Saccharomyces cerevisiae S288C: one gene and its partners. The protein of the gene in region 1 binds, or shares a complex with, the protein of each later gene. Each region holds a gene or a part of one and is shown on either strand. Other genes may lie near its edges. The genes, in order: TEX1, HPR1, YRA1 and THO2. A codon is read from its position in the direction of its gene.

Region 1 (6,124 bases):
TTATCACACACACGTGGTGATATTTCAACGATGAATAGGCTGGCGCATTACGAAAATTTTGCATTGGGTGATTCTATTCAGCAAGAATTTGTTCATAATACCGACATTCAGCAGCTAGACGACTTGAAAGACAAAACAGTGTTAATCAGGAATGTTGGTCAAGAAATTGGCGAAAGGTATATCAAAGCGATTGATAATGGAGTAAAGCGCTGGCAAATTCTAATCGACCCTGGACTTGGTTTTGCTAAGACCTGGAAGCAAAACTTACAAATTATTAGACATATCCCCATTTTAAAGAACTACTCATTCACCATGAACTCAAACAATTCGCAAGTGTATGTTAACCTCAGAAATATGCCCGTTTTATTGGGTCCATCGCGCAAAAAATTCATTGGACATATCACAAAAGATGTGGATGCGAAGCAAAGAGACTTTGCTACTGGAGCGGTGGTAGCGTCGTGTATTGGTTTCGGCAGCGACATGGTTAGGGTCCATGACGTTAAAAATTGTTCGAAGAGCATTAAATTAGCAGATGCTATTTATAAAGGTTTGGAATAAAGGTTAGTTATATAGATTAAATATGTAATTCTGTTTTGTAATAATTTTTTTTCCTGTTTCATAATAAAGAATCGTTAAAAATAACCAAGGGAGGAAACAAGTGAAATGAAGTATAGAAAAGATATAGAAAATAAACTTAAATATTCAGTTTACTTGTGCTTCTTTTTTCCCCTCTATGAAATATAGCATGATAAGTGATTGTTCCTTTGTTTTTTTCAGTGGATGTTTCACCTAAGCCTTTGGACAATCCTTGGAAATATGGCCAGTTTCGTTACAGTTGTAACAAAGCCTGTCATTTTGACAGTCCCTGGACATGTGGCCAGCTTGACCACAAGTGTAACATTTCAATCCACTAATTCCGTCCTCTTTCATACAGTCCTTAGCCATATGGTTTGGACCACCACATTTATAACATGAAACTTTGGAGAATCTGCTGGTCTTCTTTGGTTCAGGGCATTCTCTGGAGATGTGGCCGGTTTGGTTACAGTTGAAACAACGTTGCACAGTACATTCACTTCTAACGTGACCGGTTTCACCACAATTGTAACATTGCTTGAATTCAACTGTTCTTGGCATGGTACAATCCGTTTGAACGTGACCGGGTTTGTTACAGTTGTAACATAGTCTTTCAGAATCACAGTCTTCTGCCAAATGGCCAATCTTACCGCAAACGTAACAAGCTTTTTGAGACATCTTTTTCGTATTCTTTTCTTTTTTCCTGATTTCTGAAGGGAAAGCCTTAAAATAATACAATCCTCAAGTGCCCCCAAAGCAGAAAGAGCATTTCTAATCCATCGATGACCTTATTACAACTCTTGCCAAAAGAGAAAAGGAACGAAAAGAAAATTTTTTCAGCATTTCGTCTATCATGACACCACAGCAGTTCTTACTATAAAGCTCAAATCCCTAAGCCATAAAGGCAACAAACGGCAATATACTACCTGTTTAATCGTGCGTATCCAGTCGCCATCTCCTGCTGGAATAGTTATGAACATCGAGTTTCAGTTCCCGCAGACGGTCTTCCTCTATGGCAGCTTCCCATTGCTCAATTGGATCAGAGTCGGCTACTATGATACCGTATTCAACTGTATCCTCGAGTAAGTCATAGGCTAGCATCCTTAATTCGGGATCGTAGTAATATTCCTTCTCGTTTAATTGTTGCTTTGGATGTTTATTCGGTGTCTTCGACGAGCAAGATTTATTCGAGAGATTTAATTGGTAAATACAAAAAGACGTAAGGGTTTCTGGAGCCAAAACGTAGTTACAGAAATCTGTTATCCCCCACCATTTTAAGGTTGCGGGCTGATTGTGCGTGAGTGCCCTTTTATATCTCTTAGCGATTTCTTCGCCAACCCTCAATTGCCTTTTCAGGCCGTAAAATCCAGCAGTAAATTTGTTTAAATTCAACTTTCTAAACTCATCTACGGACAAGTAAGCCTTTTGTGAGTTTTTGAATGCATTTTTTGCTTCAAAATAGTATACAGACGATATCTTTCCCTCCAATATGTCCATTACAATGGGCATGAAGGGTTCTACTTCAGTGAGTAGCTCATCCGAAAACAACATGGGTGGTAGTTTGAACTTGCTCATGTATTCTTCCCTTACTTGAAGTTTTTTGATTATCTGCTCTTTAGAACTCAAACAACTTTGTAACGATAGCTTTTTATCCTCGGGAAATGAAGAGGAGAAGATTTGGTTATCTTCAACTGCCGATAGTTCTGCCTCCAAGAGTAATTTTTTACCGTCTAAAAGATTATTGTTCCTGCATTTGATAGACTCGATATCTTCATTTTTCAAATTCTGTATTAGTGGGATAGAAACGACCTTCTCTTCTTCTTTTTCTTTTCCTCTGAGTGCTGCATTCTTTGCGGCTTGTACTTCTGAATTTGGAAATGACCTCGAAAGTTTATCAAATGTGGCCACAGTGGAAAGCTTTTTTACTTCAATCTCATCTTCTGTGATACTGTCTATTTTGCCGCGCTTTTTTGAGGGGGAAAAGGCATCATGGCCTGATAAGTCGTCACTTTCTCTATCATGTATGTCATGTTTTCCTTGTCTTTTCATTAACAGTAAGTTATCACCACTTCCCTTTTTTGTGGAATAAACACCTTTTCTCCTCACTCGATTAATTCCCAGACCAGGCCCAACCATCTCTGTCTACGCAGGTCAAAAATTTGTGCTAAGGTCTCGAGAGCACATACAGTACCCTTTTAATGTGATCTCATCGCTACATTTTTCAAAGCTTCCCATTTTAGCGACGCCATCTATATATAGGAAAAAAAAAAAGTTTAGGACGCTATTTACCACAACAATTGAGATGCAGCACAAATAGGAGTATCATTGCCTCCCAATTTTCAAGGGAGTTTTCAGAGAATTACTATTCCATACCTATTCAATTACTGGAGTTGTCTTCAGTATCATAAAGGGTTTTGGATTTTCAATCGAATTGCCATTTTTTTCCTGCTTACGTTCGATAGATAGCCAAATGCAGTTTATATATATGTATGTAGACTTGAAGGTATATTAACAGTGCCCATGTTTCTTTGGAAAGTGTCAAATATCGCAAAGCATAACCTTGAAGGTTAACATTATTTTCTAGAAATACACCTTTCCCACTGGATATGATGACGGAAGAAACAAAACGTTAAATTATTGTACCGTTGTATAAAACAGTAACCGAGCATGGACAATTCATTTTTACACCCCAACGACGCCACTAACCATGTATAGGTGTCTTGCCTAACTTATCATTATTCATAGTAGAATTAAGAAAATTAAAAGCCTTGCACCACAGGTTACGTACATAAGATATTATGTTAAATATATATCTCTTCAGTATTTCTACGTACAAAGCTTCACTCATTGAGGTTTGATTGGTGTACAGCTACATACATAAAAAGGATCAAGTGAACTATTCGGCATGTCGACAATTGGAGCTGTTGATATTCTTAATCAAAAGACCATAACTTCTGAAGTGGCTGCCTCAGTGACTTCAAAATATCTACAAAGTACGTTTTCTAAAGGTAATACAAGTCATATCGAAGATAAAAGGTTCATTCATGTCAGTTCGCGTTCTCATTCAAGATTCACCTCGACTCCCATAACTCCAAATGAAATTCTTTCCCTAAAATTTCACGTATCAGGTTCATCGATGGCGTATAGTAGAATGGATGGGTCATTGACCGTTTGGTTTATTAAAGATGCAAGTTTTGACAAATCTGTAGAAGTTTATATTCCAGACTGTTGTGGTTCCGATAAATTGGCTACTGATTTGTCCTGGAACCCTACTTCTTTAAATCAAATAGCTGTCGTGAGCAATTCATCAGAGATATCCTTACTCTTAATCAACGAAAAATCGCTAACGGCATCCAAATTAAGGACCTTGTCATTGGGAAGCAAGACTAAGGTCAACACATGTCTTTATGATCCATTAGGAAACTGGTTATTAGCTGCCACCAAATCTGAGAAAATCTACTTGTTTGATGTGAAAAAGGATCACAGCTCTGTCTGTTCTTTGAACATCAGCGATATAAGCCAAGAGGATAATGACGTTGTGTATTCCTTAGCATGGAGCAATGGTGGAAGTCATATATTTATTGGCTTTAAGAGTGGTTATTTGGCCATTTTAAAAGCAAAACATGGCATATTGGAGGTTTGTACCAAAATTAAAGCACATACTGGTCCTATAACCGAGATCAAAATGGACCCATGGGGAAGAAACTTCATTACTGGGAGTATCGATGGGAATTGCTACGTATGGAATATGAAGTCACTATGTTGTGAATTAATAATTAACGATTTGAACTCTGCGGTAACAACACTAGACGTCTGTCATTTGGGTAAAATACTAGGAATTTGTACAGAAGATGAAATGGTATATTTCTATGATCTTAATAGTGGTAATTTACTCCACTCTAAATCTTTAGCCAATTACAAAACCGATCCCGTTTTGAAGTTTTATCCTGATAAATCATGGTATATCATGTCAGGCAAGAATGACACACTATCAAATCATTTTGTTAAAAACGAAAAAAATCTAATAACTTATTGGAAAGACATGTTCGATAACACGATGATTGAAAAACGTAGGAAAAACAACGGTGGAGGCAACAACCACAATAAAAGGACGAGTAAGAATACTGATAGGATTGGCAAGGATAGGCCGAGTAGATTCAACTCAAAAAAATAAGTTACCTGATGGAAGGAATGCGGTAGAAAATGCACATTCTTTTTCTTTCATTTAATGATATTTACATGTGATTGACGACAACCTAATATATAAATATATATGCACGCATATATTTTGTATATGTAACGTTAAAAACGCATCTGTTTTTGTGATTTCAATTATCCGCTAAAAGAAATTCTGTTTTGTTAAAGTAATCTTTTGGTACATATTCACTGATCTCACCTTTTGTCAGCCAAGCAAAATCCTCGAATGCATCATTTTTCGACGCCACCAAATCAAATTTTCCAGCCAAAATGTGTGACTTCACAATAAACTCAGCAGTCCTATTTCTCTCGTCCTGCAAAACACCTATGGGCGTAGCAGAAACAGACCAAGTGTATATCTGATCACCGCTCAACAATTTCAATTCGTTCTCTGCGTGTACGTGTAACGGCTTAGATTCATCAGAAAGATCGAAGTTAGGGAATTTCCAAGTACCGCTTTTATCCTTAACCAAAAGATATAAGGTCCTGCTCAATTGTCTTTCAAGGCTCTTCATATCATTTGACCTATCTGCTTCCGTTATCCTGTCGTTGGGAATCACGGGCCTATTAACATCGTCTTTGCTTTGCTCTTTTTGATTGTTGCTAAATGCTACTGTACTGTCATCAGAAAGTTTAACTTCTTGCTTAGTACTTCTTTCTCTGCCATGTTTAATGTCCGGTATGCCTCTAGGAAACCAAATGCCATTTTTTTTGGAGATAGGTCCTTTCTGCAGGGATAGAAATTTGTGTTCTGCTACAGTACCCTTTTTGAAATAAAAATATGCCGGAAACGTCCACATTAGTCTCTTTTCTAGTTCTGATTGGTACTCATAGTATTTTTTCTCTAGTTCATTTAATTCTGATTTAATTATAGGGATTCTTGACAGTAGTACTCCGACTTTAATCTTGGGGGGAGCGGAACTGGCAGTTGCAGTTGCAGTAGCAAGCCCTCTTTTCAACATTAAATTTACCTTCATGGTACTGGATAAGCGCTTATGATTACGTAGAATATAAAGTTTATTGATTGTTTAACTGTTTTCTTTCCTTTTTTTTTTTTCATTTTCATTTTCATCTAAACCTTGAAAAAAAACCAGGAATACGGTAAAAAAAGAGAATAAAGAATAGGATAATGCTACATTTGAAACACAGTAGTTATGTGAATACATAAGGATGTCCATTTAACAAAAAAAAAAAAGGAACATAGGAAAAAACAGAAATTATATATAGAGGTAGATTAGTTTTATGTACTATGAGCAAATAAAGGGTGGAGTAAAGATCTTAGCTTTGTTGTTGTTGCTGCTGCTGTTGGTTAAGCATATTCATCAAAGAATTCAATTGAGCAGTGGGGTCAAAT
Region 2 (7,140 bases), on another chromosome or scaffold:
GGTTGTAAACCAGCTTCCACATAGCAGATGATCACAAGAGGTTATCGCACCTTTTATAGCAGCTGCTAACTTTTTTCATCAATTTCGTAATTACTAAGCCGTAACCTTCCACCGCCCAAGCATCACACCAGGAGTTACATATTTTTGTATTATCATAAAGAAACACACGCCAAGATATCTACAGAAACCAGATGTTAGCATTAGATATATATATTCGTATTGATGCAGCATAACAAGCGTACTATGGATTGCAAAGTAATGTAGATTCCTGACCAGTAGATCTGCTCGCGCAAGAGAAACATTCATGAACTCTAACGACAATAACAGTAAATCCACCTCACGGAGAACGATAAAAGTCTTCATTTCTCCATGAGGTGGAAACGTTGTTTGAATATTAAACATAATACTTGAACTTCTTGTGTAATTTTTATTTTTTAATCGAAGTCTACTCCGAAGTCTCCTATAAAGCGTAAGGCGCGTCTCCAAAGTGCTATTTTTCAAGATCAATTCAGCTTCAAAGAAGCTTTGATACCTACGGGGCAATGCAAAGGCTGCCAGTCGAAACAAACAGCGAAAGCTAGCCCATAATTTCTTGAGCTGTTGATTTTGATTGTGATATTTTTCATACTTTAGAAGAAGATATGCGTGCGCACAGAATCGATACATTTCTCATAAGAGAAAACATCAAACTGGAGATCATACATGAATCGAATTCCTATTTTGGTGGAGAACATATATCAATTGCTTTCCGATTTAAGCACCTAGGCTCACAGCATGAATTGTTCAACTATAAAGAAAAGCTTCTCACTGTCGATAAAGCTGTTGAAGAGAAGTTGGAACAACAAGCGAAAGTGCAAGATGATGGTGAAGGCACGATGGAAAATCAAACCTGGTCCCTAAAATCATTACTAGGTGCCTTCAAAAGAACAGGCGAACCTGAAGAGAGTGTGGATGTGGATAACATGAAAATGCTAAATGAGAGTAAGATGTTAAGAGAAAAAATACAGAAGCAAATGTATTTTCATCAACCTGTAACGTTAATATCCGGTTATGTTCAAATATCGGGGGTCTTTCAATACGATTCAGAGGTAATTTCAGAGTCAAAATTTAAACAAGATGAAGTAAAAATGGTAGGACTAGATATTGTACCTGGACATACGACAAATTCTGTTCTTGCATTGGAAGATGGAGAACATTTCAAAGGTAAAAGAAATTTAACCAACTACCTCAACTCAGATTATACAAATGTGACCAATGGTCTTCTTTTCTCAGAAAGCGGTTCTAGGGGAAGAACAGGTACCTATAACGAACGGACCTTAATGATATCAAACGATACCAGTATAAAAACATTACCTCTTCTTTTAATACCACAGACGCTTTTATTTTCTGAAATTTCTTTAGAACCAGGTGAAGTAAGAACATTCTATTTTAAATCCACAAAGCTGCCAAAAGATATATGCCCAAGTTATTCATCGTCAAAAGTGGCATCAATAAATTACACGCTGGAGGTTGGTGCGGATGTACTTTCTGATGATAATATCGAGAAATTTTCAAATAGAGTCCCAATAACAATAGCACCATATATTAGTTCGAATGCCGAACAGTACACATCACGTCTGGATAAGCCTGCTATCATATTAAAGACAGGTAACATAAAGGAACTAAAGCCACGTTTGTTTACTCGAAAAGTTTCTACGGCTTCTGCTGTATCATTTGGTAGGAGAAAATCTTCTATAATTGACATTGATTCTCCATTAGAAGATAATGAATTTGTCAAGCGTGTCAAAAAAAACTTCATTGAACTGGTGGAATCTAACCAAAATGTGTCAAGAGATATAGACGAACTTATTGACTTGCAAATGGGGGTACAGTTCGGAAAGGATGAGGATTCTTCGGATCCTGAACCCAACGACTCACACTTTTCGAACGAAATGGTGACGTCTGCAGAGTCTAGCCTGAGAAGCGATGCTGTAACTAAGAGGAGAAAAAGTTATTCGGTACGCGATAACATTTCTAACCTCGAGCAAAAGATGTGGAACGATTGTTCTCTCGTTAAGTCAGATGAGAATTCTAATCTTCTACCTCAGCTAATTAATTTACAGAACGCATATCAAATTAACAGAAATAATGAGACTATGGCAAAAGTATCCTTATCAGCACCTTTTTATAAGACAACTGATGATATAAATTTAGTCATTGAATTAGATCCGATAACGACGCCTTTACTTAAAGTGACTTCGTTGACTGTATCCTTAGAATCGTTTGAAATTATAAATCCAAAATATAAGACTGAAGGAAAAGGAATAGGGAGCAAACCAAAAGGAAACTCGGTGTATGAGAAACATTTTATTTGTTTCGATGAGTGCAAGTCCGTATCGGTGAAATTACTTCCTCCAAGATCGCCTACAAACCAGATTACCGGACAATTCAAGACAGATGTTTTTCAACATAAGTGGATGATAGGACTAAAATTTGTAATAATTGCAAAGACAGAAAGTATCACTTTGGATCAATTTTATGAGGATAAAAAGGGCATCCTATTCCATTCAAAAGAGAATTTAGAAGGTGAAGAGTTTACATGTTACGTTCCCATTCCAATACTGTGTACATCCGAAGATTTCATGGGATGGTAAGCAATAAATGGGTGCAGTTTACTCGTATAATTGGTTTTGCATTTGAATCCAATCCAGTAAAGAGGATTTACTATACTCTCTTCATAAAGGGTATGTACAGATACATTTATAAGTTAGTTAACCGGCTTTATTGTCGTAATAGTCATCTCTTGATGTCATGGGTTGCTGTCCGTGCGATTTCAAGACTGCTCATTTCGCACGATGCATATTGCTTCTCTAATGACATTTTTCGTTAGAATGATCAGGTTTTTGCCATAGCTTGATCAGTAAATTAATAGATGATTTTAACAATTCAAGAGGCATTAAAACTTGGGCAAAGGAGTAATAATGTCTAATACCGAGGAATTGATCCAAAACTCAATAGGTTTTCTCCAGAAAACTTTTAAAGCACTCCCAGTTTCGTTTGACTCCATTCGACATGAACCACTTCCATCTTCAATGTTGCATGCAAGTGTTCTCAATTTTGAATGGGAACCGCTCGAAAAAAATATTTCGGCAATTCATGATAGAGATTCTTTGATTGACATTATACTTAAAAGATTCATTATAGATTCAATGACAAATGCTATTGAAGACGAAGAAGAAAATAATCTTGAAAAAGGGTTACTAAATTCGTGTATAGGTCTCGATTTTGTGTATAACTCAAGATTTAATAGATCTAATCCAGCTAGCTGGGGAAATACCTTTTTCGAGTTATTTTCCACCATCATTGATTTGCTAAACTCACCATCTACGTTTTTGAAGTTTTGGCCCTATGCTGAATCACGTATCGAATGGTTCAAAATGAATACATCTGTTGAGCCAGTATCATTGGGGGAGAGCAATTTGATTAGTTACAAACAGCCTTTATACGAAAAGCTGCGCCACTGGAACGATATTTTAGCTAAATTAGAGAATAATGACATCCTTAATACCGTCAAACATTATAATATGAAATACAAACTAGAGAACTTTTTATCCGAGCTACTACCTATAAATGAAGAATCGAACTTCAATAGATCCGCTTCTATTTCAGCTTTACAAGAATCTGATAACGAATGGAACAGATCAGCACGTGAACGAGAAAGCAACCGCAGTTCCGACGTTATATTTGCTGCAGATTATAACTTCGTGTTTTATCATCTAATTATTTGCCCGATCGAATTTGCTTTTAGCGATTTAGAATATAAAAATGATGTGGACAGATCATTAAGTCCCCTTCTTGATGCAATCTTGGAAATCGAAGAGAACTTTTACAGCAAAATCAAGATGAACAATAGGACTAGATATTCCTTAGAGGAAGCTCTGAACACTGAGTATTACGCGAATTACGATGTTATGACCCCTAAATTACCCGTGTATATGAAGCATTCAAACGCAATGAAAATGGACAGGAATGAATTTTGGGCGAATCTACAGAATATTAAAGAATCAGATGACTACACTCTTCGACCTACCATTATGGATATCTCTTTGAGCAATACGACCTGCCTTTATAAACAATTGACTCAAGAGGACGATGATTACTACCGCAAACAGTTCATTTTACAACTATGTTTCACAACAAATCTTATACGCAATTTAATTTCTTCTGATGAAACGAGGAATTTCTATAAAAGCTGCTATTTGAGGGAAAACCCGTTGAGCGATATTGATTTTGAGAACCTTGATGAAGTTAACAAAAAGCGTGGGCTCAATTTATGTTCATACATTTGCGACAATCGTGTTTTGAAATTTTATAAAATTAAAGACCCTGACTTTTATCGTGTTATCCGCAAATTAATGTCTTCTGACGAAAAGTTTACAACCGCCAAGATCGATGGCTTTAAAGAATTCCAAAACTTCAGAATATCTAAGGAGAAGATACCGCCACCCGCTTTTGACGAAACTTTTAAAAAGTTTACGTTCATCAAGATGGGGAATAAATTGATTAATAATGTTTGGAAAATACCTACTGGTCTAGATAAAATTGAGCAAGAAGTAAAGAAGCCTGAAGGTGTCTATGAAGCAGCCCAAGCGAAATGGGAATCAAAAATTTCTTCTGAAACTTCCGGTGGAGAAGCGAAAGATGAAATAATCAGACAATGGCAAACTTTACGGTTTCTAAGATCGCGATACTTGTTCGATTTTGATAAAGTTAACGAAAAGACTGGTGTTGATGGTTTGTTCGAGGAACCCAGAAAAGTGGAAGCGTTGGATGATAGTTTCAAAGAGAAACTTTTGTACAAAATCAATCAAGAGCACAGGAAAAAACTTCAGGATGCTAGGGAGTACAAGATTGGAAAGGAAAGAAAGAAGAGGGCACTGGAAGAAGAGGCTTCGTTTCCTGAAAGAGAGCAAAAAATTAAGTCGCAACGTATAAACAGCGCTTCTCAAACAGAAGGAGATGAGTTGAAGAGCGAACAGACGCAACCAAAGGGAGAAATATCAGAAGAGAATACCAAAATAAAAAGCTCGGAAGTTTCTTCGCAAGATCCTGACAGTGGTGTTGCCGGGGAGTTTGCTCCACAGAATACAACAGCTCAACTAGAAAATCCAAAAACAGAAGATAACAATGCAGCTACTTCGAACATTTCTAATGGTTCATCTACCCAAGATATGAAATAAATTATCCTCTTAATAGAAATTTTAAACTGATAAGAAATTCATGCATAGTGTCCCAAACAATTCAGATAGATTTTAGCGTACCACAGAGATCCTATCAGAGAGTAATACTTATGATGAAAACAAAAGTCAATCCATTCGGTTTAAAAAAATGACAAACCTATATTTGATTAGATTAATCAGGCGTCAATAACGTCCTTAGAAGTCCCTTTGCTAAGACTGATATCGTTGGCAAAAGCATGCTCCGAGTTTAGTATATACTTCCACTTGATAAAGTTGTAGCGCAAAGGATGCTTTTCTTAATGAGAAATTCGGTATACTACAAGAGGACATCCAATCGTGCTTACAAAATTGCCCTGGAAGACATGATTGAGAAGAAATGGCGAAATATGTCTTTTGGTCAGATAGTCTGTAATCGCATATAACAGTATGCTTGGTTTGCTCTTTATCACCACGCTTTTCCTCTCTTTCCAGCGCGAACCATGCAATGGCCAGCTTTATGAAATTTAAACCATAAAGTCATATGAGACCAGCAATCAGACCATATATAGCCGTACTATGCTATAACGGATAATTTGATAGATACTAAACAGTTTTAGTTCACATTTCTCGTCTAAAAACAATTAATTTATTATAACAGACTCTATAGACTAAATTGTATGTATTTTTTTTTTTGACAAATTGGGGGCGGTAGCCTTCCAAAGTCCAAGTGAACTTATGTTCGTTTTGTCTTCTTTTCTAATGAACACCTTCGATAAAATTCCATAAATGACGGAAAATGGTTCTAGTTACCACCTCTTAGTGTTAATACCAAGTGGAGTTGCATTCCCTCTACTAGATGTGCATCCGTTACTGTTAATTTATCATCACTATCCTGGTCGTTAGTAAGGTCTCAAAAACGTAAATAAACTTAAAAGATAATTAACCACTGAATGAACATACATTTGTTTTCCCTGGAATATAAGTCTTTGTTGAGATGGTGGAATCCCTTCTTTTTCCTCCAAAAGTTCCTTGATGTGATATACGAGATCTGATTCCTTCAGCTCAACAGAGATCTCCTTCCCAGTCAGTGTCTTCACTTTAACAATCATCGGTTACGGCTGTAAGGAAGTTAATTACCTTCCTTTATTTATTCCTCTGTCGGAATACTTCATTTGAATAACAGAATTTTGGTTTTTCAGCTAAAAGTTGTTCGTTTGCCTTCCCGAAGACGCCATCGGAATTTGATTTCATATAAATATTGATATAATTATACTCTGAAATATAATATTGATAAACTTAACACAGGGTGAGAAAGGTGAAGTATGCTACCGACCCCTTATGTAAAATGCGATTACGATAAAGTATATGAGCCTGCTGAGGATAGCTTCCTCATACTGGACTGTTTGGAAAAAGAGCATGATTTTTTGAAACAGAAATTTGGTAATCGTTTGGCCATCGTTTGCGAAATTGGTTCGGGATCAGGTATCGTCACAACATTTCTAATGCAAAACAAAATAATACCGCAGGAAAATTCCATCCACTTAGCTGTTGATATCAACCCATGGGCGCTCGAAGCAACTTTGGATACTGCGAAGTTAAATTCATGTAAAAGTTCTTTTTTAGAAGTGATTCAAGCTGATTTAAACTCCAGTATTCGGAATAATCAGGTTGATGTCCTAATATTTAACCCACCATATGTGCCAGCAGAATGTGTGCCAGATGTCCCAGGATCAAGAGAGGAGGCAGACCAATGGCTAGATTTAGCGTTATTGGGTGGAAAAGACGGGATGGCGATTACTGATAAACTGCTACGACAATTAGAACAAATTCTTTCTCCAGATGGTGTTGCATATATATTATTTTGTGCAAGAAATAAGCCTAAAGAAGTCATTAAGAGGTTTGTCGATACTTACAAATGGAATGTGAAACTTATTGAAACGAG
Region 3 (5,999 bases), on another chromosome or scaffold:
AGTAATAGTTTAGAGTAAGTCCAAATATCATCTCTTAAATGAAAAATTTCAGATACCGAGAAAATTTGGAAAAAGAAAATTATTACAATTTTTCTGCTTGGTAACTTTACACGATCCATACTGTAATTTTCGCATTACCTGCGTAATGACTAGAATGGGCACGTGATCATAAAATTAGAGACGACAAGAGCTCTCCAGTATTCTTAAACGGTAGCCCTTGGTTGTGATACAGCCACATGAACAGATTCCCACTGCAGCCTTTTTTGTTGGGTTCGAATAGACAAGATAAATAAGAGCAGTTACACTATATAATATATATATATATATATATATATATATATTACATTACTGACCTCAAAGCATCACAAATGTGTCGCTTCCTTCTTCGCCTTTTAGTTGAAGACATCCTTTTCAATCTTCCTCCTTACAAACCCGAGCGTCCTGCTTGCATATAAAAAAATCAAGGCAGATGAAGAGATAAATATAGTAATATTTCATTCTTTGAGCCGTACTAAGTATACAATGTCAAATCCATTTCAAAATATAGGGTATGTGTAAAAGAAATAGGGAAACATCTATTCGTAAAGCCTAAACTAACATTGGATATCTTTTTCTATTTCCCGGACTTCTTTTTTGGTTATTTCCTTATTGGCCTATCCCTTGAAGCAGAGTTTGATTGCACCATATATATAACCAAAGTGAAGACGAAAGTAGGAAAACACTACCAATGCGATTTCAACAGTAAGAATTTACTATACATTTCTGCAGCCGGGATTGCGTCTATTTATGTGGTCAAGACCATAGTGAAAGCTAGAAGAGATGCTAAATTTATACCAAAGGCGCGGGGAAACAATGGTGAAGTGAATGAAAAAAACTATTATGATAACCTTGCTCAAGTCAAACCAGGGTTCCCCATACCTAAAGATGGAGGAGACAACATTGATTGCTCTGAGGACCATCAATTAGTAAGAAAGAGTAAATATGAAGGTAGCGGGCTTAGTGCTGTAACAAGAAAAAGAGGTGACAAATTAGGTTTTTTAGATAGGAGGAGAAACGAGTAACACACGTTTAATCAACCTATCCATTTTTTCAATGCAGTATTATGTATATATATATTCATCGCACTGTAAATAGTGACATATTATGAGTCAAATATGCCGAATAAACTTTAAAAGTGAGAAAAGCCGTCACCGATGAGTAGGTTAGCGTCACCTAGTGGCGGTGGTAAATATTATTACATAAACATATCAAAGTTTTATTAATACATTTTTTAATCCTTTAAATTTTCTGGAAACTAATACATAATGAAACTCGGAAAAATTAAATTTAATAAAACCAAATTAAATCAAACAAAAAATTGACAATTAATTATTTCTTTTCGAAATAGTCCGCCATTTCCTTGTCCAGATCTTCAAGACTTTTCTTAGCAGGCTTTTCTCTCTTTGGTTTGTTTTGGGATTTTGCCATAGCAGCTTTTCTATTTGGACCCCTCTTTACTGGTCTTGGAGCGTTTCCGCCTTTTTGTGGCATAGCCTTGATCCTGTCGGCTAAACTTTTGACTGGGCGTTGGTTTGGATCAACGATTAGGTTAAGTCTCAATCTTGATCTGCCTCCATCGATTGGAGAGCCGTTAAATCTTTCAACAGCCCTTCTGGCCAATTCACCGTTTTTGAATGTGATGTTAGCCATACCAGTAGATTGGCCCCTTTCGTTATAACTCAACAAAACTCTTTGAACACCACCTACTTGAGATGCAAAAAATTCCTATAATAAAAAAAAAAAAGTTAGTCATATATCTCTATGATATAAAATCAAAGAAGGAAGGGACAATACACAAACAATCAAGGAGTTGAGAGTATTAAAAGTATACCATTGCGTAGGAAAAATAAACCCTCAAATAAACATGTACCACGATGGGTGAGTTCCTCTTTGGTTTCATTAGGTGTCTCAAATCAAATATTTTTGTAACTATCATAATAAAAAAATGAAGCGATGCACTCATATCTTTTCGAACGTTCATGAAAGACATGTTTCCCATAGCTATTTTTTGAAAATGGTGCCATTCGAAACTGAAAGCTACTCCCTCTTGAAAGGATACAAAATTAATTGATCCTTCCACAACTTCAGTATTGGATGATACGCTTATTAAAAATAGGAACTAACTATCACGGTCGAGGCGACACAATACGCCAGCTTAAAAATGTAAGATTGACAGATTAGCAGATAGTCAGATTGATTTGAGTTAACCCAGCCAATAAGAACAAACCCATTCTCAGTGGTAGCTGGTAATTCCAACCTTATAGGCCATGATTTGAAGTATTGAAAAAAATTGGTATGGTTGGCTTATGAAAACGATACTCTTTTTGTATTTTCTCTAGCGAAGTATTTCGGACTCTTTCTTCATCTCTAAAAAGAGAATTCTTGATCAAAAGCGTGTGCCATATCCTTCCTTACAAAGAATATTTCTCGTATCCACACGAGACGATGCGAGTAACTAAACAAATAGCTCTCATTTCACGTATTAACATACTCTTACAGCATCCTGCTTAATGTCCCTTGGCAAACCTTCGACGTTGACCTTGACCTCTCTAGTGGTGTCCAAGAGCTTGGCAACTCTAGCGACTGCGTTTGGAGGTGCCCTAGTATTTTTTCTGATAGGGCCTCTTCTGTTTGGAAGGCTCCTACGTTGGCTACCAACTTGCTTACCAACTCTTCTTGGACCGTTACCACGAGTACCACCGACACGGGCTCTATTACTTCCTGCTTTGTTAGAGCCAATGATTTCGTCTAAGGATTTATCTAAGTTAGCAGACATTTAGCAGATGTAGGTATTTTCTTAATATGGATTTCTTAAAGTTTCAAATAGAACGAGGGAGATTTTTTTATCTATTTGTCTTCGATAGTTTTCGGATAAAACTTCTTCTAACAAAAAAACCTACTACTAAACACACGATAGGAATGACAGAAAAAAGCGAACGGAAGAAGTGAAAAAGGATAAATTTGGCGGCCTTTTATAGTTCTTCAAGTGGTGAGCCGAAAGCCGTGGAAAAACAACACGTCTCCCCGCCCCTGCCTCGTCGCGAAAAAAAAAATACTAGCAACTGGACAAAGAACTCTGTGGTAGTGGTAAAATAGCTTTAATATACGTATTTACTTTGTAAATATAGTTACATAAGGGTTTTTTATGTGTTAATGAACAGAAAACGAACAATTGGTAGCAGTGTTTTATAATTGCGCCCACAAGTTTCTATTTTTTATTTCTTTTAAGTGCCGCTGCTTCAACCATGCACTTTAGCTGTTCGGGGAAATCCAATTCGCCTAATTTGACTTCTAAAAGTTCTATCCCGCTTCTTTTGTTTGAATTCTTAAGCTCCTCCAATTTCAGTGCTAATTTAGAGGGACATTGAATGAGAGTGCTATTAGTATACTTTCCGTCGAAGTCTCCGAATGCTTCAAATAGTTTGGTCCATTTCCAAGACATAACGTCGTTATACGACCTGGTAGGGCCCATGATGGCTCTTTCAATAGTGTAGCCGTTATTGTTCCAAATGATAACTTCTAGTGGAATATTGCACTTCAGAATGGTGCTCAGTTCTTGGATTGTCATCTGTGCTGCACCGTCACCTTCAAACAAAATTAATCTTGGCTTATAGTCCTCTTTTACGTTGCCACCATTGATGTGAGCGTTTGAGTGGTCTTGCATGGCAATTCCAACACCTAGGGCGGCAGGAAGGGCCATGCCAATGGAAAGGAAAAATCCTTGCGATATATATTTTAATTGCGAAGGAAACGCGAAATCACGAACAGAGAATTGAAAAGAGCCTGTTTCACAAACGACAACATCACCAGGGTTCAAAAATTTAGGCATCGTCTTTTGTAAGTGAACTTGTGTAATAATGCTTGATTGTCCATTGGTAGGATCTTCTAACCGCATTGTTTCGTTCGTATATTGAGTTACATTTGAATCATATTGCAAAGAAAGTTTAGAAACGTCAATGCGCTTGTATAGTTCTTTTAAAATAGGGGCAAAATTGATTCCTTTGAACATTTGCTCATTGCCCTGCCTAGTGTCCACAAGGCGAATATAATTCGGATGAAATTGAATGATTTTAGCATTTGGTTTATAAGTAAAAGTATAATGCCCATTATTAATTTCATTGATGTCGACTCCAAAATGCAAGACCAAGTCGCACAGTTCAAAATGTTCATAGACTTGTTTTAAACCTTCTTTACCATTATATTGACCCATATAAGTTGGGTTTGACTCATCAATTACAGATTTTCCCATAACAGTGGAAAAATTCCAAATCCCAGTTTTGCAGATAAGCTTGTTCAAAAAGTTACTCACACCATACCTATCAGTCAGTACGTCTCCAAGGATCGCAGGTGTTTTACTGGAATATATCCAACTAGTAATCTTGTTGATTATGTCAGACAATTGGTTTTCAGAAGGGTATACTATACAATCTTGTTGAGATATACGTGGAACATTAACCAAATTATCACATGTAACAGACATATCCGCAAAATCTGCAGGAACAAAAATATAACCAGGTTTAGAATACTTGTAAATATCGCGGATAACATTATCGACTTGGTCACATGCAGTTTCAATATCCTCCAAGTAGGCTACCGAGCAAGCGACTCTATCTTTTACCATATCATGATATACTTTATGATTTGGCCCTTTAAAATTTGAATCATGTAGCTGTGGGACCAAATGATGTAGGTTCCGATCACTAAAGTTACTTGAACGCGAATCTATGGACTTGGCCACACCAACAATGTGCAAAACTTTGACATTTTCAGCGAACGAACCGGCTATACCGTTCAAGGCGCTTAATTCACCAACGCCATACGTGGTTATTAAACAGCCAATCTTATTAGAGTAACGGGAATATCCGTCGGCCGCATAAGCGGCGTTCAGTTCATTACACGTGCCGACCCATCTTAGGCCAGCTGATTCAACACTAGGTGAATAGAGATATTCTAATAGAGATAAGTTGAAGTCACCAGGAACACCGAAAACTGATTTCGTATCGATGGACAACAATCTTTTAAATATGTATTCACCAAACGGAATTGTTGCTGATCGGTTGGAAACAAGGTGTCGTTCTTCTTGATTTACGAACTTTTCAATTGTAACAGGTGCCATGCTTAAGGGAGTTTCTTTGTTATCTTGTAAATAAACTTTACAGAAGTCGCGTCAACTTGTTTTGAGTATCAAGTTGAGAGGGTTGATCAGTTAAATATGTTTTATATCAGATTTTATGTAGTATTAATAAACGCAGAAAAAAAATGAAAGTGAGCTGCCGCTGTAGTGACGATGCAAACTAGCCCAGTTTATATCTTAAACTTTACTCAACACAATAAATAAGATGCCACTAACCTATTACATACCGACACTTACCGAAGGTATCAAAGCTCCGCCGCACAAAAGTACGACAAATGCTCAGCATGACCTCGGCAATTTTCGGTAAATGACGGCTATCCGCGGTTATCCCTCCCGGTAGGTAACCGACACTTTGGAGAGGATTCGCAAAGGCTCAAAGTAATATATGACGGCTTTTTCAAAAAATAGCCTAAGCCTACTACCAAATGTTAATAAGGAAGCTACATGAGGTGTACAAGCATCGAATTTTGGATTATCTTTTTCGCTAAGACGTTGTTGTACGCTTTCAATCCTGCTTTTTTAAATTTCGGTGGACGAACCAATCTAAAATGTAGTAAAACTGGTAGATGTTAATTAATTAACCTTGCAAAGCCGAAGAAAAAAAGGGGTTCGCCAAATTATTCTTAACAAAGATAATGTAGCTTAAACACACAAGAAGAAGAGGAGACGCAATACCAAGAGCATGCCTAAGAGATTAAGTGGGTTACAAAAAGAAGTCTTACACCTGTATAGGGCTTCCATACGAACGGCTCATACAAAACCAAAGGAAAACCAAGTTAATTTTGTGAATTATATTCATGAAGAATTTGGGAAGTATAGAAATTTG
Region 4 (9,722 bases), 190 kb from region 1:
AAGAACAACACTGCATGACTCAGTTTCACTCAACGAGATAGCGTTAACTTTTCCTTTTATTTGAACAAGAACTTGAGAACATTTACCTATGAAGATAGACTCATCTTTATTTGCATCAATAACCAGAGATTCAGTTTCATTTTCGTAATTCTCAATAAACCATTTGTTTCCTACCAATTCCTTTCTAGGAGGCCTCTTAGTTTTCAATGTTGATGGCTTTTTTGGCCTTGGTGGTGGACCGGATTTACTTCCTGTGGAAGAAACTGTAGAGGATTGACGTAATTCAGGATTTTTGTGAGTTTGTTGGGATTTGTCTACTTTTTTCAAACCCTTAGTGATATTTTCACCCTGATTTAGTTCGGCGAAGACCGCGCCAATACCGCCTTTGTTAGCATCACTACTCGTTGCTGGTGTATCATTAGAGATTTCAAAGACGGAAGCTGGTGGGGCTGGTGGAGGAGGTGGTGGTGCTGGAGCCGCTGTAGCACTTGCTGGCGAAGGAGATGAAGTAGCACCTGTATTCTTCGTTGATTGTGCCATCGCGTCAGCAAAATCCATACCGTCTTTTTTCCAGGAAACCCCAGTAGTATGATACTCTTTAATGTAGGCTTTCAAATTATCGAAAGAGGCCAAAAATTTCTTAACCCATTCAACAGCATTAGGATCAGACTCTCTGTATTCTTTCAAAATTCTATTAGTCCAAAACTGTGCTGCGTCCTTGAAATCTGTGACCATAGACACGGGAGTGTCCACTGCAACCCAGGAGAACAAAGGAGCACCCTCAGATAAAGCGCTCAAATATGCGAAGTATTTGCTTTGACGGTTTGATTCCTTCAATTGACCCAGCTTTATAATATTTTCGTTGATAGGTCTTAAAGAATCAGCGAAAGTTTGAGAAGAATAATCCGGTTTTCTTGATCTCACAGCAGCTCTTAAAAAAGTCAATTGCGATTGAAAGCCTCCCTTTAGCAACTGCAAAGCATCTAAGACCACCGTGTCGATCTTTCCTGATAATTCTACCAGCGGATCAATATTCTCACCGATGTAAGATTGGAACGCAGTTATGCATTTCGGATCTTGTTCTACTTCAGGAGCATTTTCTGCAGAAGGTTCATTCGTAGTATTCGCATCGGCCCCGGAGTCGGAAGGCTTGTTATTTTTAGATGCCTCCAATTTATTCTGAATATAACCTTCTTGATAGATGGTGACATCCTCTAATCTTGCAGTGGCTTCTTCTAGCCTTTTTAATAGCTTAACAAGGTTATAACCTTGCATTGTGTACTTAGAGTCAGGCATGATTCGATTTCACACGGTTGCAACTTGGCCTACTCAATTACGAAAAGTTTCAAGCTGAGTTTTCCCCTATACTACCAAAAGATTTCACTTCTAAATCCCTGTTTATGACTTCACGCGACATGTATAGATCATTTTAAACGATATGAATTGTATACTGTCCCAACATTTTATATCTTTATATAAACATCAAGGTTAATAATGTTCGACAGTTACTAGAATCAATGCCTAAAAGGTTACTGACTGAGTGTGATCTCTACCATAAATCTTGAGAACGACATACGAGGCGTAATTTTATGTAAAAATTATTTATGGATGTGGCTTCAACGTCCTACCTCTCTTCTCGTAAGTAGGCTTTATAGCCAGGGGACATGGATTTCAGGAGGTGAATACGAGTGTCACGTATACTAAGGTCTCCTCGGCTCAATGAAACGTACTCCAAAGATGCGGAGTGGCCTTGTAATGTATTTAGTGTATCGTTTCTCACATTTCTCTGCCACTGTTCTCGTGTAGTGCTCTCATCTCCCAGTCCGATGTACTTTTGTTTGTATATCTTCTGCAACTTCAACTGCCTCTGCTTTTCCGCCTGTTTTGAGTATTAGCATTACGTATAAGCCGCACGGACTTGCACGATTCATCGCAAGCGTAGTTAGTACCATGGTAAAGATGATTTCAATTCAAACTAAAGCGCAATAGAACGTAACATACCATTTCTTTTCTTAATTTCACTGTTTCGAATTGTGTAATATAACCATTTTAGCCACTATTTACATGTTCTGAATGAGAAGGCTTATGTTCTTCTCTTCTTCCCGGGTGACAACGCTAACTTCGGCGTAAGATTTTCCGCTATTTCTTCAATAGCGACATAACGTATGAGAGTTTATGCCCAGGGAACACGTTGATTTAGAAGCAAACACTGTTGCATAAATTATAGGGCTGTGATTTTATCGTCTTTATCTAAAGCATAATAGGGTGAAACGGTTTCAGTTGATACATATTCGCACCAGTATACATTTTCAGGACTTTATGGCAGAACAGACGCTACTTTCCAAATTGAACGCTCTTTCTCAAAAAGTGATACCACCAGCTTCCCCTAGTCAGGCAAGCATTTTAACGGAAGAGGTGATACGAAACTGGCCTGAACGATCAAAAACTCTCTGCTCCGATTTCACTGCACTGGAGTCAAATGATGAAAAGGAAGACTGGTTGAGGACTTTGTTTATTGAACTGTTTGATTTCATAAATAAAAACGATGAAAATTCTCCCCTCAAGCTTTCTGATGTTGCATCATTTACTAATGAATTAGTGAATCATGAAAGGCAAGTGTCCCAGGCTTCCATAGTTGGTAAAATGTTTATCGCCGTCTCAAGCACTGTTCCAAATATAAATGATCTAACAACCATATCATTATGTAAACTAATACCGTCGTTGCATGAAGAATTGTTCAAATTTAGTTGGATATCCTCTAAGCTGCTCAACAAGGAACAAACCACCTTATTAAGGCATTTGTTAAAAAAGTCAAAATACGAACTGAAGAAATATAACCTTTTGGTAGAAAATTCAGTGGGTTATGGTCAATTGGTAGCCTTATTAATATTGGCGTATTATGATCCCGACAATTTTTCCAAAGTGTCCGCATATTTGAAAGAAATCTATCATATTATGGGGAAATATTCCTTGGATTCTATTCGTACTTTAGATGTTATTTTGAACGTTTCTAGTCAGTTTATCACTGAAGGGTACAAGTTCTTTATTGCTCTTTTACGAAAGTCGGATTCTTGGCCATCTAGCCATGTAGCTAACAATTCCAATTATTCTTCTCTTAATGAAGGCGGTAATATGATTGCAGCAAACATTATTTCATTCAATTTATCGCAATATAACGAAGAAGTCGATAAGGAAAACTATGAACGGTATATGGATATGTGTTGCATTTTACTGAAAAATGGGTTTGTCAATTTTTATTCTATTTGGGATAACGTTAAACCAGAGATGGAATTTCTACAAGAATATATTCAAAACTTAGAAACTGAACTGGAAGAGGAGTCCACTAAAGGCGTAGAAAATCCCTTGGCTATGGCAGCTGCTTTGTCCACTGAAAATGAAACTGACGAAGACAACGCCCTTGTTGTAAATGATGATGTTAATATGAAGGATAAAATCTCTGAGGAAACAAACGCTGATATAGAATCAAAAGGCAAGCAGAAAACTCAGCAAGATATTTTATTATTTGGTAAAATAAAACTCTTGGAACGCTTACTCATACATGGTTGCGTTATTCCCGTGATACATGTGTTAAAGCAATATCCGAAAGTGTTATATGTTAGTGAATCCTTATCTAGATATTTGGGAAGAGTATTTGAATATCTTTTAAATCCATTGTACACATCAATGACCTCATCTGGTGAATCAAAAGATATGGCAACTGCTTTGATGATAACCCGTATAGATAATGGTATTCTAGCCCATAAGCCAAGGTTGATCCATAAATATAAAACTCACGAGCCATTTGAATCCCTTGAATTGAATTCAAGCTACGTCTTCTATTACAGCGAGTGGAATTCCAATTTGACTCCTTTTGCTTCTGTAAATGATCTATTTGAAAACTCGCATATCTATTTATCTATCATAGGACCGTATTTGGGGAGAATTCCTACGCTTTTGAGTAAGATTTCACGTATTGGGGTAGCTGACATTCAAAAGAACCACGGTTCTGAGTCTCTGCATGTTACGATTGATAAGTGGATAGACTATGTAAGAAAATTCATTTTTCCAGCTACCTCGCTATTGCAGAACAATCCAATTGCCACATCGGAAGTTTACGAACTAATGAAATTTTTCCCTTTTGAAAAAAGATATTTTATTTACAACGAAATGATGACGAAATTATCCCAAGATATTCTACCGCTTAAGGTGAGCTTCAATAAGGCCGAAAGAGAAGCGAAGAGTATTTTGAAGGCTTTGAGTATAGATACAATCGCAAAAGAGTCCAGGAGATTTGCCAAATTAATCTCTACAAATCCATTGGCCTCACTGGTACCAGCAGTTAAGCAGATTGAAAACTATGACAAAGTTTCTGAGCTTGTTGTTTACACCACGAAGTACTTTAACGATTTTGCGTATGATGTATTGCAATTTGTATTATTGTTACGCTTAACTTATAACAGGCCTGCTGTTCAATTTGATGGTGTTAACCAGGCCATGTGGGTCCAGAGATTATCAATATTTATTGCAGGTTTGGCCAAAAATTGTCCCAATATGGATATCTCAAATATAATCACCTATATTTTAAAGACGTTGCATAATGGGAATATCATAGCAGTTTCTATCCTAAAGGAATTAATTATTACAGTCGGGGGCATTAGAGACTTAAACGAAGTTAATATGAAGCAACTATTAATGTTAAACTCAGGATCACCATTAAAGCAATATGCAAGACATCTCATATATGATTTTAGAGATGATAATTCGGTTATTTCGTCGAGGCTAACCTCATTTTTCACTGATCAGAGCGCTATTTCTGAGATTATTCTCCTGTTATACACTTTAAACCTGAAAGCAAATACGCAAAATTCTCATTACAAAATTTTATCCACTAGATGCGATGAAATGAATACATTGTTATGGTCGTTTATTGAGTTAATTAAACATTGTTTGAAAGGGAAAGCATTTGAAGAGAATGTTCTCCCATTTGTAGAATTGAATAATAGGTTCCATTTATCGACACCGTGGACTTTCCACATATGGAGAGACTACTTGGATAATCAATTGAACTCAAATGAGAATTTTTCTATTGATGAATTAATTGAAGGTGCAGAGTTTAGCGATGTTGATTTAACGAAAATATCAAAGGATCTTTTCACTACTTTTTGGAGACTTTCATTATACGATATCCATTTCGATAAATCACTATATGACGAGCGTAAGAATGCACTATCCGGAGAAAACACGGGCCACATGTCAAATAGAAAAAAACACCTGATTCAGAATCAAATCAAGGATATTTTGGTTACTGGAATTTCGCATCAAAGAGCCTTCAAGAAAACTTCAGAATTTATATCTGAAAAATCAAATGTCTGGAACAAAGACTGCGGGGAAGATCAAATTAAGATATTCTTGCAGAATTGTGTTGTGCCAAGGGTTTTATTTTCTCCTTCAGATGCTCTCTTCTCTTCGTTTTTTATCTTTATGGCTTTTAGGACAGAAAATTTGATGTCGATATTGAATACTTGTATTACATCAAATATTTTAAAAACGTTGCTGTTCTGTTGTACTAGCTCTGAAGCAGGCAATTTAGGTCTGTTTTTCACTGACGTTCTTAAAAAGCTTGAAAAAATGAGATTAAATGGCGATTTCAACGACCAAGCTTCTCGAAAGCTTTATGAATGGCATTCAGTAATTACCGAGCAAGTCATTGACCTTTTATCCGAAAAAAATTACATGTCAATTAGAAACGGTATTGAATTCATGAAGCACGTCACTAGTGTCTTCCCTGTAGTGAAAGCTCATATCCAGTTGGTTTACACAACTTTAGAGGAAAACTTGATAAATGAAGAAAGGGAGGATATTAAACTACCAAGCAGCGCATTGATTGGCCATTTGAAAGCGCGTTTGAAGGACGCTTTAGAATTGGACGAATTCTGCACCTTAACTGAAGAGGAAGCTGAACAAAAGAGAATACGTGAAATGGAATTAGAAGAGATCAAAAATTATGAAACAGCTTGCCAAAATGAACAAAAGCAAGTAGCTTTAAGAAAGCAGTTAGAGCTTAATAAGTCGCAAAGACTTCAAAATGATCCACCCAAAAGTGTTGCAAGCGGCAGTGCTGGATTAAATAGCAAGGATAGATATACTTATTCTCGTAATGAGCCTGTAATCCCAACAAAACCTTCTAGTAGTCAATGGTCATATTCCAAAGTCACCAGGCACGTCGACGATATAAACCATTATTTGGCCACGAACCATTTACAAAAGGCAATTTCCTTAGTAGAGAACGACGATGAAACTCGGAATTTAAGGAAATTATCTAAGCAAAATATGCCAATATTCGACTTTAGAAATTCGACTTTGGAAATATTCGAAAGGTACTTTAGGACACTCATTCAAAATCCTCAAAATCCAGATTTTGCAGAAAAAATTGATTCGCTTAAAAGGTATATTAAAAATATCTCGCGCGAGCCATACCCAGATACGACTAGCTCATATTCTGAAGCTGCTGCTCCTGAATATACCAAAAGATCAAGTAGGTACAGCGGAAATGCTGGAGGCAAAGATGGTTATGGTAGTTCCAACTATAGAGGACCAAGCAATGATCGTTCTGCACCCAAAAATATTAAGCCAATCAGTAGTTATGCACATAAAAGGTCAGAACTACCAACTAGACCTAGTAAAAGTAAAACATATAATGATAGAAGTAGGGCACTTAGACCCACAGGTCCGGACAGGGGCGATGGTTTTGATCAAAGGGATAACCGCTTACGTGAAGAGTATAAGAAAAACAGTTCACAACGTTCACAATTACGGTTTCCTGAAAAGCCATTTCAAGAGGGCAAAGACAGCAGCAAAGCCAACCCTTACCAAGCTTCATCTTACAAGCGCGACTCGCCTTCAGAAAATGAAGAAAAGCCGAATAAAAGATTCAAGAAGGATGAAACAATTAGAAACAAATTTCAAACGCAAGATTATAGAAATACACGAGATAGCGGTGCTGCCCATAGAGCCAATGAAAATCAAAGGTACAACGGAAATAGAAAGAGCAATACTCAGGCGCTTCCGCAAGGTCCCAAGGGTGGGAATTACGTCAGTAGGTACCAGAGGTAATTACTAGTACTTAACATACCCGAGCTGAATTTTAACGTGTACTTTGATAGTTCCCGAATTGTAATCTCGTGAAATACAAAAGGTCCAGCTAATGCTCGTATAATCACTCAAATAAGTTTGTAGAATTCTATTGTATCCTTTCCCACACAAAAGGGGATGTAAAAAGCATCAAAAACATCGAATGAAATTTGTGCATACACATAGTGTTATAAATTTACAAAAAAGCGCTTATGAATCGAAAAAGACTTTCAACAAAAATATTATACAATGTCTTGCAAATGGTACTAATGCGAATATTTAGTGACTACTTCGTCCACTCTACTTAACAAACCGTTCTTTCTTTTATCGTCACACCATGAACCTTTAATGGCGTTCTTAGCGATACGACCCCATGTTTCATGGTCCCAGTGTGGGAAATCTTTCGAAACTTGAGTGTAGACATCTAAGATATAACCACCAAAATAGGCGGGGTCATCAGAATTTAAAGAAAATGGAACATCTCTGTCAAGAAACTTTTGTAGTGGTAACTCTGAAACGGATTGGACTACTTGTAGCTTCACGTTGGAGAGAGGACAAATAGTTAGCATGGTCTGGTCGCGCGACAACCTATCCAATAACTCCTCGTCGTATTGACTGTTGATACCGTGATCGATTCTTGTTACTTGCAACAAGTCTAAAGCATCCGAGACGAATTGAGCGGGGCCTTCTTCACCTGCGTGTGCAGTTAGTTTTAAATCTTTATTCAATGAGGCGGCCTTTCCGTAACATTCAACAAATAAATGTGGGGGAAATGGTTTCTCAGCAGAATCTAATCCTAAGGCAGAGATAGTACCATCTTTAATAAATGGGGTAGCTTCTTCGATAGTTTTCAAACATTCCTCTGGTTCAATGTGTCTTAACAGACACATAATTAGCTTGGATGTAATACCAAATTCAGAGAAGGCTTTGTCACAAGCTCTTTGGAAACCTTTAGTGACTGTTTCTATGGAGATGCCCCTAGATGTATGTGACTGAGGGTCGTAAAACACTTCAGCATGGACCAAGCCTTGTTTGTGAACTTTTTTAAAATAGGCCCACGCCAAATCAAAGAAATCTTGTTCACTAATCAAGACATTAGTACCAATATAATAGTAATCTAAGAAATCCTGCAGATCACGAAACTTCTTATACTTTTCGTTTAATTCCTCGACCGATTTAGGAAAACCTTCAGGTAGAATTATATCGTTTCTTTTAGCTAATGGGAACAATAGGTCAGGTTCTAGAGTACCTTCCAAATGCAAGTGATGCTCACATTTTGGTAACTCCTGTAAAAACTCCACAGAAACCATTATTTTTTTTTTCTTTTCTTTTGTTAGTTCTAATGGTAGTTATTATTTCAAAATAACTATAAATACACAGGCCTGCTTGTCAATTATTCATTTGCAAAAGATGTCGCTTTCATAAGCCTTATATGTTAATTTTTTTCAATCTTCGTTGGCATGCGATGAGGTCAGTTTCCTGCGCCATTTCAGTGCAGTTTCGAGAATTTTAAGATTCAAAAAAAAAAAAAAAAAAAAAAAAAAAAAAAAAAAAAAAAAAGAAAAGAGATGGAAACAGTGAAAGATAAGGCAAAAAGGAAGTATATCAAGGTTTTTACATCAAAATATGTCTTCTATAAGCGATGAAAATTTGCAACCAAAGCAAAATAAACCTTGTGCTCTTTTCCTGTTAACAGCATATATAGGGTATATAGAGGCTTTCTTAAAGAAAATTTCTTGCTATCATGCTCTGGAGATGCTGTATATTATAGTGTGCACAGTTAAAGTCATCGATTATGATAATAACATAAGACAAGAGAAGTAATACTAACGTCTCCCCTCATCATTCGGAGTTATCAAAAAAAGAAAATATATCAAATATTAAAAATAAAATTATTAAATGAAGCGTTACATAAAGATTAAACATAAAATCATAGTCTGCTTGAGTATATCATTATACTATATGGTCAGTGTTCTTAGTAGAAGAAGCGTCGGAAGGCGTAGAATTCTTTTCTGCGTCTGTGTTACCCACAATCTTATCATCAATGTTTTCATGAGGAGGTGGCATTTGTGCCGATGTTTTAGATCTGATTGGTTCTGGGATGTAAGCAGTGGATTCCTCGTATGTAAATTCACCAATTTGAGCAGCGTCGGTACCTAATTCTTCCTCATCAGCACTTAATCTTAGTTTTAAAAATGGAATGGCATTCATAGTTAGAAGCAAGATAGATGTGACAGTAACAGTCCAGGCTAGTGCAGCGCATATACCTGCTAATTGATAACCAACTTGTTTATAGTGATGATTGATCCAGCCACCATCAATTGGACTAATGTAAGAGCCTGCAGTGGCATTTACATAGTCTGCAGCAAAGATACCAGTTAATACAGAACCAATACAACCACCCACACCATGGATAGAGTAACAATCTAGACCATCATCGATGCGCAATAGACTCTTTAAGTCAACAGCAAGGTTACATCCTGCACCAGTAACCACACCAATGACAACGGCTGACCAGATTGGCACGAACCCGGCGGCTGGGGTGATACCCACTAGGCCAGCGATGATACCTGAACACAAACCAACTGTAG

Evidence for each region.
Region 2: the proteins of TEX1 (region 1) and HPR1 are in contact, whole or in part, in a cryo-EM structure (PDB 7V2W), measured with the Saccharomyces cerevisiae proteins. Residues at the interface, in NP_014146.1 of Saccharomyces cerevisiae: Lys13 (codon at 3,515), Thr14 (codon at 3,518), Trp264 (codon at 4,268), Asn372 (codon at 4,592), Ile374 (codon at 4,598), Trp377 (codon at 4,607), Lys378 (codon at 4,610), Lys388 (codon at 4,640); in NP_010422.1 of Saccharomyces cerevisiae: Glu318 (codon at 3,912), Tyr324 (codon at 3,930), Tyr325 (codon at 3,933), Ala326 (codon at 3,936), Asn327 (codon at 3,939), Asp329 (codon at 3,945), Ile466 (codon at 4,356).
Region 3: TEX1 (region 1) and YRA1 share a complex: the UniProt entries of both Saccharomyces cerevisiae proteins name them as parts of the transcription/export (TREX) complex.
Region 4: the proteins of TEX1 (region 1) and THO2 are in contact, whole or in part, in a cryo-EM structure (PDB 7V2W), measured with the Saccharomyces cerevisiae proteins. Residues at the interface, in NP_014146.1 of Saccharomyces cerevisiae: Thr14 (codon at 3,518), Ile15 (codon at 3,521), Thr16 (codon at 3,524), Ser17 (codon at 3,527), Ala20 (codon at 3,536), Val73 (codon at 3,695), Ser74 (codon at 3,698), Pro122 (codon at 3,842), Thr123 (codon at 3,845), Leu125 (codon at 3,851), Glu207 (codon at 4,097), Ser218 (codon at 4,130), Asn219 (codon at 4,133), Gly220 (codon at 4,136), His223 (codon at 4,145), Cys246 (codon at 4,214), Ile249 (codon at 4,223), Lys250 (codon at 4,226), Ala251 (codon at 4,229), Thr253 (codon at 4,235), Pro263 (codon at 4,265), Trp264 (codon at 4,268), Gly265 (codon at 4,271), Arg266 (codon at 4,274), Ile273 (codon at 4,295), Asp274 (codon at 4,298), Gly275 (codon at 4,301), Asn276 (codon at 4,304), Tyr278 (codon at 4,310), Trp280 (codon at 4,316); in NP_014260.3 of Saccharomyces cerevisiae: Tyr453 (codon at 3,676), Gly460 (codon at 3,697), Glu461 (codon at 3,700), Asp464 (codon at 3,709), Met465 (codon at 3,712), Thr467 (codon at 3,718), Ala468 (codon at 3,721), Leu469 (codon at 3,724), Met470 (codon at 3,727), Ile471 (codon at 3,730), Arg473 (codon at 3,736), Ile474 (codon at 3,739), Asn476 (codon at 3,745), Leu479 (codon at 3,754), Arg484 (codon at 3,769), Ile486 (codon at 3,775), Tyr489 (codon at 3,784), Leu498 (codon at 3,811), Glu499 (codon at 3,814), Leu500 (codon at 3,817), Asn501 (codon at 3,820), Tyr504 (codon at 3,829), Thr544 (codon at 3,949), Lys548 (codon at 3,961), Arg551 (codon at 3,970), Asn590 (codon at 4,087), Asn591 (codon at 4,090), Pro592 (codon at 4,093), Ile593 (codon at 4,096), Lys653 (codon at 4,276).

Annotation. Positions count from the first base shown.
Region 1 is NC_001146.8:166,540-172,663, forward strand, and holds TEX1 (Tex1p), read left to right. Parts: upstream 1-3,478; coding exon 3,479-4,747; downstream 4,748-6,124. Other genes in the region: trifunctional dihydropteroate synthetase/dihydrohydroxymethylpterin pyrophosphokinase/dihydroneopterin aldolase FOL1, read left to right, coding at 1-558; mRNA-binding translational activator GIS2, read right to left, coding at 790-1,251; RTC4 (Rtc4p), read right to left, coding at 1,504-2,709; mitochondrial 54S ribosomal protein mL46 MRPL17, read right to left, coding at 4,902-5,747; Nrd1 complex RNA-binding subunit, read right to left, coding at 6,049-6,124. UniProt on the Saccharomyces cerevisiae protein: Component of the TREX complex, which operates in coupling transcription elongation to mRNA export.
Region 2 is NC_001136.10:727,618-734,757, forward strand, and holds HPR1 (Hpr1p), read left to right. Parts: upstream 1-2,960; coding exon 2,961-5,219; downstream 5,220-7,140. Other genes in the region: RGP1 (Rgp1p), read left to right, coding at 642-2,633; NEDD8 family protein RUB1, read right to left, coding at 6,001-6,085, 6,159-6,307; MTQ2 (S-adenosylmethionine-dependent methyltransferase), read left to right, coding at 6,521-7,140. UniProt on the Saccharomyces cerevisiae protein: Component the THO subcomplex of the TREX complex, which operates in coupling transcription elongation to mRNA export. The THO complex is recruited to transcribed genes and moves along the gene with the elongating polymerase during transcription.
Region 3 is NC_001136.10:1,233,374-1,239,372, reverse strand, and holds YRA1 (RNA-binding protein YRA1), read right to left. Parts: upstream 2,816-5,999; coding exon 2,531-2,815; intron 1,765-2,530; coding exon 1,369-1,764; downstream 1-1,368. Other genes in the region: COI1 (Coi1p), read left to right, coding at 523-548, 743-1,061; phenylpyruvate decarboxylase ARO10, read right to left, coding at 3,248-5,155; SDH6 (Sdh6p), read left to right, coding at 5,856-5,999. UniProt on the Saccharomyces cerevisiae protein: RNA-binding RNA annealing protein. May have a role in pre-mRNA metabolism. Component the TREX complex, which operates in coupling transcription elongation to mRNA export.
Region 4 is NC_001146.8:358,315-368,036, reverse strand, and holds THO2 (Tho2p), read left to right. Parts: upstream 1-2,319; coding exon 2,320-7,113; downstream 7,114-9,722. Other genes in the region: SRV2 (adenylate cyclase-binding protein), read right to left, coding at 1-1,296; U2 snRNP complex subunit YSF3, read right to left, coding at 1,625-1,879, 2,002-2,004; YNL140C (uncharacterized protein), read left to right, coding at 6,551-7,120; AAH1 (adenine deaminase), read right to left, coding at 7,398-8,441; ammonium permease MEP2, read right to left, coding at 9,085-9,722. UniProt on the Saccharomyces cerevisiae protein: Component the THO subcomplex of the TREX complex, which operates in coupling transcription elongation to mRNA export. The THO complex is recruited to transcribed genes and moves along the gene with the elongating polymerase during transcription.